Danio rerio: one gene and its partners. The protein of the gene in region 2 interacts with the protein of the main gene of each other region in a pairwise test. Links are inferred from orthologs where the notes say so. Each region holds a gene or a part of one and is shown on either strand. Other genes may lie near its edges. The genes, in order: rev1, poli and dazap2.

What was found.
Region 1: the proteins of poli (region 2) and rev1 interact in a two-hybrid assay, tested with the Homo sapiens proteins (2 studies listed by BioGRID). The link is inferred for Danio rerio from reciprocal best matches to the Homo sapiens genes POLI and REV1.
Region 3: the proteins of poli (region 2) and dazap2 interact in binary tests that used the Homo sapiens proteins (3 or more experiments, as listed by UniProt). The two-hybrid records come from large-scale screens. The link is inferred for Danio rerio from reciprocal best matches to the Homo sapiens genes POLI and DAZAP2.

What each region holds. Positions count from the first base shown.
Region 1 is NC_133184.1:23,410,388-23,414,687, reverse strand, and holds the start of rev1 (DNA repair protein REV1), read right to left. Parts: upstream 2,842-4,300; coding exon 2,785-2,841; intron 1-2,784. UniProt on the Homo sapiens protein: Deoxycytidyl transferase involved in DNA repair. Transfers a dCMP residue from dCTP to the 3'-end of a DNA primer in a template-dependent reaction.
Region 2 is NC_133180.1:19,644,796-19,648,452, reverse strand, and holds part of poli (DNA polymerase iota), read left to right. Parts: intron 1-1,014; coding exon 1,015-1,158; intron 1,159-1,373; coding exon 1,374-1,607; intron 1,608-3,198; coding exon 3,199-3,377; intron 3,378-3,657. UniProt on the Homo sapiens protein: Error-prone DNA polymerase specifically involved in DNA repair. Plays an important role in translesion synthesis, where the normal high-fidelity DNA polymerases cannot proceed and DNA synthesis stalls. Favors Hoogsteen base-pairing in the active site.
Region 3 is NC_133198.1:36,680,320-36,683,976, reverse strand, and holds part of dazap2 (DAZ-associated protein 2), read right to left. Parts: intron 609-3,657; coding exon 357-608; intron 1-356. UniProt on the Homo sapiens protein: In unstressed cells, promotes SIAH1-mediated polyubiquitination and degradation of the serine/threonine-protein kinase HIPK2, probably by acting as a loading factor that potentiates complex formation between HIPK2 and ubiquitin ligase SIAH1.

The DNA of each region.
Region 1 (4,300 bases), on a different chromosome or scaffold from region 2:
CTGGCTGACAAGCGTTTGATTACGCCTCAGACATTCAATGAGACTGGAGGTGCAAGTCTGCCCTGCTGGCACGGCGACTCTCTGTCTCCATGGCAACGGAGGGAACGCTGGGATTCAAGAGTTGAGCTTGAACCAATAAACAGACTCTCACACACACTGAAAAATACTCCTGAAAACACTCACTTGCTGGAGGCATCCCTGAACCTAATTTATATCAATCAGAGAGATCAACACACACACACACACACACACACACACACACACACACACACACACACACACAACAACAACACACCTGAGAGACAACACTCTGAGAGATCAACACACACACACACACACACACACACACAACCTAAAGCAAATAAAGGTTTTGCGTAGACATATGCTGATGTCCAATAATGCCATACACTGTGATCATGAACGTGCACAATATATTGATGCTGTGGGTTTTTAAAATAATGTAAATAATTATTTAGAATTTCAACTTTCAGATTACCATTAAAGGATATTTATATTGTTGTATCTGCACTGCAGTGTACATCACAGCACCAAACGCTTCAAGCCTTAATAGACAATTTATGATCAGCTTCCATTCAACGTCAGCTAACCTAACTACAGTCAATGTAATGATATAAAAGCATTGATTAACCTTAGGCAAAGACTATAGAATACACAAGATGCGTCACTCGTATAGTTTTGAATGGAGAAAAGTGTTACAGTCAATATGGCGAATGAAGCCCCGCCTACTAGTACAGGAGCTAATCATCAAATCTCTATAGACTGACGTGTCTCCAGTATAAACGAATGTGAAGTACAGTCAGTCCTGTCAAACACACATCATGAGACAGCAATTACTCAAAGTGTAAACATAGAATCGATTTCACTACTGGAGAAGATTTGCTATCAAGACCAAGCTGTGGATTATTTCAGATGACCAGTGCGACTACATGATCATTATCCAGAGGACAACACTGTGTGATGTGTAACACTGCCGTAAATGAGGTTGGTGTTGTGATCTCATTCCTTTCGAGTTTGCATGCGCACTAGCTCTGGCAACTTGAAAATATGCAGATTTTGTTTAATTCAGACGTTTAGAAACGAAACTTATGAAACAACTGTTGTTTAATTTTACTGTTGACTCCAAATATGTAATATAATTATAAGCTTGGCAAACAATTTTGAAAAATTTGATGTTTCTCCATTCAGATGGAATGCTCGAAAATACAGCCCAAGAGGCGTTTCAAACAAGGCCGCTAAGTGAAATGACTTGCCTTAAAGGGACATTAACTTATTAGCGAACACCTAATAATGCATTAAAATCAAATGTAGTCATCTTTTTATTAAATGGAGTTATTAACTAGGGCTGCAAGGTGGCTCACTTTCAACTCATATTAAGAAGATGCCTGGTTCAAGTCCCAGCTGGAGTTTGCACACTCTCATTTCCCCCACAATCCAAAGACATGCGGTATAGTATAGGTAGATATGATTGGCCATAGCGTATGATTGGATGAATGAGCAAGCGTATGGCTTTTTTGGGCTGCTAAAACAACTAAATGAATGTAGTTTATCCTGCTTTTTAAATGCCTATTGCCATAAATGTCAAAATTAGACATTAAACATTTTCTGAGCCATAATAAATTAATAAAGATGAAGCTGATAGAAACAAAACCAGCTGAAAGGTGCATACACTGACCTAGTATGTACTATTAACTCACAAAATGCTGCCAAACCATCAAAAACAATAGCAGAGACAGACATGCAAATGATTCAGAAGCAATCGTATTAACTGACAGTCAGGATGATTCAAATACATGGATGAGCCTGTATTATTAGTTTCAGTGATTTTTTACCTCAGCTCAGAATGTTGAGATTGGCCAATCAAAATCAAGCATTCCAGACAGCAGTGCGATAACAGCTAATAAATTTCAGCTATATTTTTCTAAATTAACTTTAATATATAAAATGCATTTTTACAGTAGATTTTAATGCATTGATTAACATTTACTAATGGTACTTTTTTGTAAAGTATTACCTATTGTACCTATCTTCCATTTACAATTTAATTGGCTTAAAACATTCATTTATTCTGAACATGTATATAGACAATAAAGCAATCAAATATTTTGGTTATAATATATTTTTGCAGCTTAGGTCAATAATACTATACATCATCATAAAACCTTCAGCAATTAATTGCAACAAAAAATTATATTGTCAGAAGCCTATTTCTGTGTTTAATCACACTTACACAGTAAAATACATAGTACATTTACTTAAAAATCACACATTTCTGGTCTCAAATTGTGCGGTAAAACAGTTCTACTGGTTAGAACTAAGATTGTTATTTTATTAGTGAAGACAGAAGCTTGTGGAGTTGTTTATATTAGTGTGGTTCTGCTAATGCCTGAAGAACATGAAGATGCCGAAGCTTGTCAAATCTCTAGCTGGGTCTGGACTGTGGCGACTGAGCAGAGGTGCTGGTCAGCAGTGAAGAAAATTGAGATTACTCACTGGTGTAATACAAATGAAAATCTGTCTAGACTTCAGCAGCAACACACACACAAAGCATGATGGGTGATGTACAAACAGCAGAAAGGCAATTAATAGTTAAAAGGAAATCTATGGATAAGTTCTATTATTTACATAATGTTCAGTTTTTACAAAGACAGATAGCAAAGACAACACGGGATATATACGAAGACGATTCAGCTCTGAGATAAAACAGCTGTTGAGCCTTTCCTGCTCTCAATAAACACATTTCTGCGTAAATAACTAAACTCTTACCTGTCCTCCCCACCCATCATTTTCACTGGCTTTCTTCCTCCATCCATCTCGACTCATACTGAGGGACCTAAAAGACAACAATTCAAAAGAATGAGCCCAAAACTGAAAGCGTGAGTGGCTGAAAATAGACACGGAAAACAAAAAACAAGCACGCACATCTGTTCTCCTCTTTGCACTCATTTATTAGTATGCAGATGAGTGACTCTTAATAAGAAATAATACATCTGAAACCCTGAATAAAGAATAAGTTGTGTCTCTTTTGCTTATAATATAGCACTATTCACAATGCACACGGTTTCAAACCTTTAATGTTTAGATAATATTTCCATGCTTTATTATAGTCACAATACTTTGCTGCAATTATTTTAATAAAGTGTAGTATTTTAGAGTTAACAAAATAAAACACAACTATAGAATGAGGAATTGAACGATAATGGATGTCTCCCAGCCACTTTTATTTTATTTGTTTTTTATGCTATTTACAGACACAGTGGCACCTCAGACAATCAAACTGAAAACACTTACTGTCTAGCACAATAAATGTGCAATAGCATATCCACTTTATTACTTTGCTGTGCAATGCATTTTTGCAGATTGCAACTGATTACATTTAATAAACTAAAAATCTAAAGATATATCGGAATATAACAGCCATTACTGTAAACAATGACAAATATCGTAAAATAAAACGAAAAAATCTGCTTCCTTTTGTTTCTTTAAAAGGACAGCATATAACATTTTACAAGTACAAAGACATACATGCCAGGGGGTATAAACATAACACAAATATACAGAATGTACATAAGTAATAAATCAAATAGTTACAGTGCTAAGCATTTATAAGTACACCTAATATCTTTTAAATTCAGATGTTTAATAGGAAGCTATACAATATTATATTTGTGCATATATATTAGATTAGTCAGTACTGAAGCTAAATCTGGAGTTTATCTAACAATATAACTTATGATAACGGACCAGAAACGAGTACACCCAATTTTATATGTTAGAGAAAAATAATGAATACAAATTTTAAAAGAGGAAAAATCAAGAGAAGCAAAAAAAATTGAAAATATTTTGTTAAAATTTTGTAGGTTGTAATTTTTTTTTGCAATATTTTGCATGAATTTAATTTTATTATCTTTGAATTTCTAAATATGTTTGGTAACTAAAATATTACTTTGATAAATATATCTGTTTGATAAATCTGTTTTGTTTAAATGCACCAAAACTCACTGAGAAATGGATACAGATACAATGGATTCAAATATTCACTTTCAAGATGTGATGTACTCAATTATGCTGAGCACTATATATTATAGTTCACAAATCTTTAAAGTGTGTAAAGCTTTCTTATTTAGAGTATCTGATGCTACTAATACACAAGCATATTTCAGTCATCAATACCTTAAAATGTCCAGACCTGCTTTTAAAGCAAAGTCGACCATGTGCACAGCTGGCCTTATTGCCTGACCAGCTAAAAAGTGCTCAAAACTCATACAAACTAAACGAGTTT
Region 2 (3,657 bases):
ATCAACATGGCATAGTCTTCATTATATATTATTTAATGTTTATTAAAGTTACAAAAATTTTCTTGTGGCCGGTTGTTTTAAAATTTGAAATATTGAAATGTTCACACAGTCACAGGCCTTAAAGGGACCGTTTACTCAAAAATTAAAATTTACTCACTATTTACTCACACTTCACTTATTCCAATACTATAGGAGTTATTCAATTATATTCTTTTTGTGAAATAATTGTGAAAAAAACTCAAAAATGGAAAGTAATTTTTGGGTGAACTTTTTCTTTAAAAATGCAAGCAGATGATAAACTTTTACTCCATTACAATTTAACTATATTAAACTATAATCCCAACATTGCATATCCTGCGGTGTGACTATTGTGGATGCATACATTGCAATATCGATGCTGAAACGGTATATCATGCAGCCCTAACTTGGCCAAAAATATGCTCTCACATTGTTAGTGCTGTGTAAGCATTATCAAAATCAATTTTACATGGATATAAAAAGAAATTTAAACAAAATAGATTGTTGCGTGTTCTATAATTTGCTGTGAAAAATTTGAATATTGTTTGTCTTATTATTTACTATGTATATGTAGACATTACAAAAAACATTGTCATAGAATTTTTGTAGTAAAAAATGTGTATGAACCCTGCTAGTATCTTTGTGTAACACTAAGTTAGGTATTTTTAAGTACACATATTAAATCTGTGTATTAAAGGCATAGTTCACCCAAAAAATTAAATTGCCATCATTTACTCACCCTTACTTGTTCTAAACATAGCCTTTTTTCTGTTGACTGCAGAAGAAGATATTTTAAAGAAATCTGGAAACCATTCACTTCCATTGAATTTGTTTTTCCTCTAGTGATTTTTTCAAAATATCTTCTATTGTTTTTAACATAAGAAAGATACTCATGAAGGGTTGGAACGCCTTAATAAAGTACATTTTAGGGTGAACTATACTTTTAAGGCATACAACAATGCCTTAAAAAACTGACAATGACTTTGTTTGCCCAAGAATTGCTGATGTCGTACTGCCCTCTAGTGGAGCGGCTGGGCTTTGATGAGAACTTCATGGACGTTACAGAAATGGTGGAGAAACGAATAAAGGAGACCCGTATTTCAGATCTCTCCTTCAATGGACACGTATACAATCATGAAAGTGAGTTGTTGGAGCACTGCTTAATATAAAAAATGTTAAACTCCTTTTCATCAAACATTAGTGACAGATCTAGCCTAGTATTTCGTAGTTTGCTGATTCAGATTTTATAAATGCAATAAATTATCTAGAAGAGTTGAACTTACGCTTTTCCTTGTATAGTTTATAATGAACTACTATAATTTCTTGTCATACTAAATCATCTTGCTGATCTTCAGGTGTTGTGGTTGATGAGGAGAACATTCGTTTGGCTGTCGGCTCTGTGATTGCCGCTGAGATGAGGCAAGCCATCTTCAGCACACTGGGGCTAACTGGCTGTGCTGGTGTCGCTAGCAACAAACTATTAGCCAAGCTGGTGTCAGGCAGCTTTAAACCCAACCAGCAGACCACCCTCCTGCCTCACAGCACCGCTGAACTCATGAGCAGCCTTACAGGACTCATCAAAGTGCCAGGTAACATCACACAGAAACTCACCCATTCAGTGGCTACCTATCAATGCTAGAATTGATTTTAAAGTTCTTATTTTAAGACATGGCTCAGTGGTTACCACTGTCGCCTCACAGCACTAAGGTCCCTGGTTTGAGTCCTGGCTGGGGCCAGTTGGCATTTCTGTGTGGAGTTTGCTTGTTCTCCCTGTGTTGGCGTGGGCTTCCTTTGGGTGCTTCGGTTTCCATCACCGTCCAAAGACATGTGCTATCGGTGAATTGAATAAACTAAATTGGCTTGTATGTGTGTAAATGCAAGAGTGTATGTGTGTTTCCCAGCACTTGGTTGCGGCTGAATCAGCATCAGCCATGTAAAACATATGCTGGAATAGTTGGCGGTTCATTTCGCTGTGGCGACCCCTGATAAATAAGGGACTAATGAATTCATTTTTATACATAATTTGGAGTGCTCCTCCTAAACATCTGAGGGCTCAATAAACATCTGCTGGTTTTAAATGGGGTCTAAAAACATACCCTCGACAGACGTTTTTTAATGTCTAAATTTATTTAAGTATTTGAGTAAATCAGTTGGTAGCTGATTTTAACTTCGCTTTAACTTTTTTTTGTTTGTTTGATTAAACTTTGCCCATTCTGCTCAGTTGGTAGCTGATTTTAACTTGTTTGTTTGTTTGTTTGTTTGTTTGTTTGTTTGTTTGTTTGATGGAATAAACTTTATTGTCTGTTCTGCTTGACACAGAAAGTAAATTTGTCTTTAACACTGGTGACAAATACAATCATACAACAATTACATAATAGCAAGACCCACGACAATTCCATTAATTAAAAAATAAAAACTGTCTTCGTCCCATACATATTACTACAGATTATTTTCAACAATCACCCAATTAGCTTCATACAATGATCCAATTGTTTTGCTTTTTTTCAAGTTTTTTTTTTTTTTTAGCACTTTAGGATTTTCCTTAGTTTGAAGTGCATTTAAATAAAAATGATTAATAATAATAATACATAAAGCACTACATAGAGCTTCACCTGAGTGTCTTTGCTCTTTTATAGTCCTTCTCATTCACTCTGTCTCCATGTAAACTTATGGGAGAAAGATTGTATTTTTACTTCAAGCCTGAAAATTCTGGAATGCATTTCCATTTAACACCAGAAGTGCTTCAACTTTTGATCATTTTAAAAAGTTAATTAGGATGCATTTATTTGAAGTGAAGGTTCAAATTTCTGGTAGTTCTAAAGTGGTTAAAAACTGTAATGAAATTTCTATCTCCTTTTAAACGCAAAACAAGATGTTCTGAAGAATGTTGGAATTGACATTCATAGTATAAAAAATATACTATGAAAGTCAATGGCTGTTTTATTCTAGCATTTGTCAGTATAGCTTTGATTGGGTTCAACTGAAGAAAGAAACTCAAAGCAGTTTAGAACAAGTGGAGGATGAGTAAAGGCATAATTAAATATTTTGGGTAAACTATGCCTTAAGTTTGTTTGTAATTGTTCTCATATTTTTTTATTTTTTTATAATGTGTTTAGTTTTACTGTAGAGCTTTAATAAAAAGTGCAATACAAATAAATGCATTATTATGGATTATTACAGGGATTGGTTACAAGACACGTGAGAAGCTGAAGGCTCTGGGTTTGGTTAATGTGAGAGATCTACAGTTGTACCCTTTGTCCGATCTGGTGAAAGAGTTTGGAGAGATGAACGCTAAGAGGATCCAAAACCTCGCCTGTGGGATTGATGATTCTCCAGTGACTCCAGCGGGTCCTCCTCAGGTATTCTGCACATTTATGATTATTCAGGTAAAAATGAAGCAGTCTTAACGGGACAGATTTAATATTGGATATGTTTTAGGATGGGTTTACAACAATATGCATTTACTCATTTAGCAGAAGTTTTGATCTTTGGTTTTTAATGTAAGAGCAAAAAAGTATTGTATCTACTTGTAATTAAAGCAACAAAAAACGTTCATTCATTCATTTTTCTTCAGCTTAGTCCCTTATTTATCAGGGGTCGCCACTGCGGAATGAACCGCCAACTATTTCAGCATATGTT
Region 3 (3,657 bases), on a different chromosome or scaffold from region 2:
TAAACATTCACAATCTAATATGATGTGTTTTATGGTGAGAGCAGCTTGACAGTAATTACATGTTGGTGGAGATAAAAATAAGGATAAAAATCATTGACTGATAAAATTAAAAATAAAGCATTTCCATAGTATGTTTTAAATTATCCTTTGAGTAAATGTCTATGAGTGAGTCCTGAGCGTCTGATATGGCATCTTGTGTAAACAACCTCATCATGTCTTTTCATGTCATTCAGATTTCTTCAGATTTCTAAAAGTTTTCATCATTGTGACCCTCAAGCATAAACTGAGCTTGACTAATATAATGGAAATCTCATTTGGCTGATAAAACACATCATGTTTAGGGGACATATACTCACCGGAATGGAACTACCAGTGCCAGGCCCGAAGCGAGCTCCAGCATCAAATCCACCATCCACCATGACAGTGGAGCCAGGAGGGTACACGGGCCCCATCGGATAATACGCCATCGGGACACTAGAAGCCATGGCCCCCATTGGCACAGTCTGGGCATGCATGGGCATGTACATCTGAGTACCAGGGTAAGCAGAGGTCATCTGGGGCATTTGTCCAGGGGCTGGAGGGGGAGCCATATATCTGGGCTGATAAACCTGCAGGTAGGAGAGAAAACTATTTCAAACATTTGTGTAGGTGATAACAAAAAGTGTATAATTCACACTTAATATCAAGACTTCAATTGTTTTAATTGAAGTTAATTAGACTAATGAAAGACAATGGCATTTTAAATCTTAGTTTTGATTGTTTAGAGCAGAGGTGCCTAAAGTAGGGCCAAAGTTGGCCAATGGTAACCTTTGGTTTAGCCCCATCATCCCATCTGAACAGTAATGACGGTGAGTTGGTTGGGGTGAATGCCTTAGTTTCTTTGTTTAATTGAGTAGCTACCAAAAAAAAAGCCAACTAAAATGAAATGTTTCATATAAATGTTGTAAATGAATCAGACTTTTACTGCCACTTGACAGATAAAAGACAATGCACAAGACATCGGCAAGCAAATCAAGACAAAGGCCGAAGTAGCTCCACTAGTGTATTCAGCATTGAACACCATTGTCTAATAACTGGGATTGTTTGTTTTAACTGTAATAAGTTTATTATAACATGTTAAATCTGATACTGCATGTTTAAAAATGTTTAAAAGCAATGTTTTATTTTTATTTTTAAATATTAGCAAATCAATTAGGAAGTTTTCCATGGCAAATGTAATGTAATACAGTTTGGTATTTTTAACTTCGACCCACAGCCCTCACACCCCATTTACACGGGGCGTCAGCTGCAACGCTTCCCATTCACTTTGAATTAAGTAACATCAGGTGTTGCCGAACTGCATTGTGGACTCTTCGCTCAACATTTCAAGTGCCGACGGAAGCCTTAGCCAATCAGATCGCTGTATGCAAATACACCAGTTTAGACAGTGGCCTATTGCTGACTAATTTCATTGGCTGACGCTGCTATGATGATCGCATCAGCCCCAACTTCAGACACACCCTCTGTCAAGCGTTGACGCTGAAGCCCTGTGTGAATGGGGCATCAGTCAAGGTTTTGGGCCTTTTATAAGAAAAGTGTGTTTAAGCACCTCTGGTTAAGAGTTTAGTGCCTGCCATGACTATTAATTTTTAGAAATATCTAAATTAAATAAATAAATAAAACAAACAAATAAAGATCTGGTGTCACTAGGCATGGGACATTAACCGTTTTCAACGTTTACCGCAGTTTGGTAGACACCGTCAATTTTTTGCTATACCGTTCCTAAGGTATTTGTATGATTTTTTTATTTATATATATATAAATATATATATATATATTTTTTTTAGAACAACCATATCTCCAGCAGAAAAGATGTCCAACGTTGCTATTTTAAATGGTTAAAAAAATCAGTGTTTTGAAACAATTGAAGACAGCAGAGGTCAAGGATTCATTTAAACTATTCAGTCTGACATGTTTACTGCTCCAAAATATTAAGTGTTTCTCAAAATACCATATATTGTGTTCAAAGGGGAACCCAAACATTTAAAAGAATATATTTTAAAGCAGTAATGTCAATACCGTATTACAGTAAAACCGTGATATTTTTATCCAAGGTTATCAAACCGCCAGAATCTTATACCGGCCCATGCCTAGGCGTCACTTGATTAAAAATCACCTGAAAAACAAAAATGCCTAAATAAGATGTCCCAATCCCTCAAAATATACCCATATTTACTCATTTACATTTAAAAGTAAATTCATACCTCTTGATATTATGCATCACTCATGTACTGAGAACTGTAATGTAATGTGTTTTTTATTTAACGCCATGTTAGCAGCCAAGTCTATTTTCATGGCAAGAACATTTCAATAATAAATTTACAATTAAAAATCAACAAACAAATGAATATATACATTAAATACATTTTTACTTGATAAAAATGTAACATTTTTCCTGGTGTCACTTTGCTAAAAACGTCCTTTAGAGATTTAAATACATAAAAAAGTCTTCGGGAATCAAGAGGAAAAATGTATTTGAATGTGAGAGGAATTGCAGTATAATATACTGCGGTACAAACATTGAGTAGGGTCTTCACCTTTAAGCAAAAAAGCATGGGTTATTCTTGTACAGTTAAAGTCAGAATTATTAGCCCCCCTGGATTATTAGCCCCCCTGTTTATTTCTTTCCCCAATTTCTGTTTAACGAAGAGAAGATTCTTTTTTAACACATTTCTAAACATAATAGTTTTAATATCTCATTTCTAATAACTGATTTATTTTATCTTTGCCATGATGACAGTTAACAATATTTGACTAGATATTTTTCAAGACACTTCTACACAGCTTAAAGTGACATTTAAAGGCTTAACTAGGTTAATTGGGTTAACTAGGCAGGTTAGGTTAATTAGGCAAGTTATTGTAAAACTATGGTTTATTCTGTAACTATCAACACAAAAATAAATAAATGGCTTATAGGGGCTAATAATATCGAAAATGGATTTTAACAAATTAAAAACTGCTTTGATTCTAGCCGAAATAAAACAATTAAGACTTTTTTCAGAGGAAAAAAATATTGAGACATGCTGTAAAAATTGCCTTGCTCCGTCAAACATCATTTAGAAAATATTTTTTGAAAAGATTAAAAATTAAAAGAGCTAATAATTCTGACTTCAACTGTATGTCCAATACGACATCTGGGAAAAATCACCAAATCTAGTCTTAAAACTCTGTTTGAGGTTTCAGGTTGTATTTTATACAATTGATTTGTTTATGCATCCCACACTTTACTGTGAACACAAACAATTTTACATTAAAAAATAGCATAAAAAAGATTTTTTAAATAATTATTCTGCACACACCTGTAAATATTAAGTAAATTGTAAGTTGCTTTAGACAAAGGCATCTGCCAAATGCCTAAATGTAATTAGTTAACAAATGAGATGATGCTGTGACATGCTACTGAACTGATAAACAGAAATTCAATTCTGCAGTTGTATAAAGTCTAAATTTATGATTAGTACAATGTATTCATCAATCATTGGTATTCATTACTATTTATTTTTAAATTTACAATTAAATGTTATTTTATCACTGCAGTTTTAAATTAAGGTTTTAGAAACAACTCATAATAAAATCGCTGTATTGACTTGCCCCTTTTTATCTGTTATAACTGTCTAG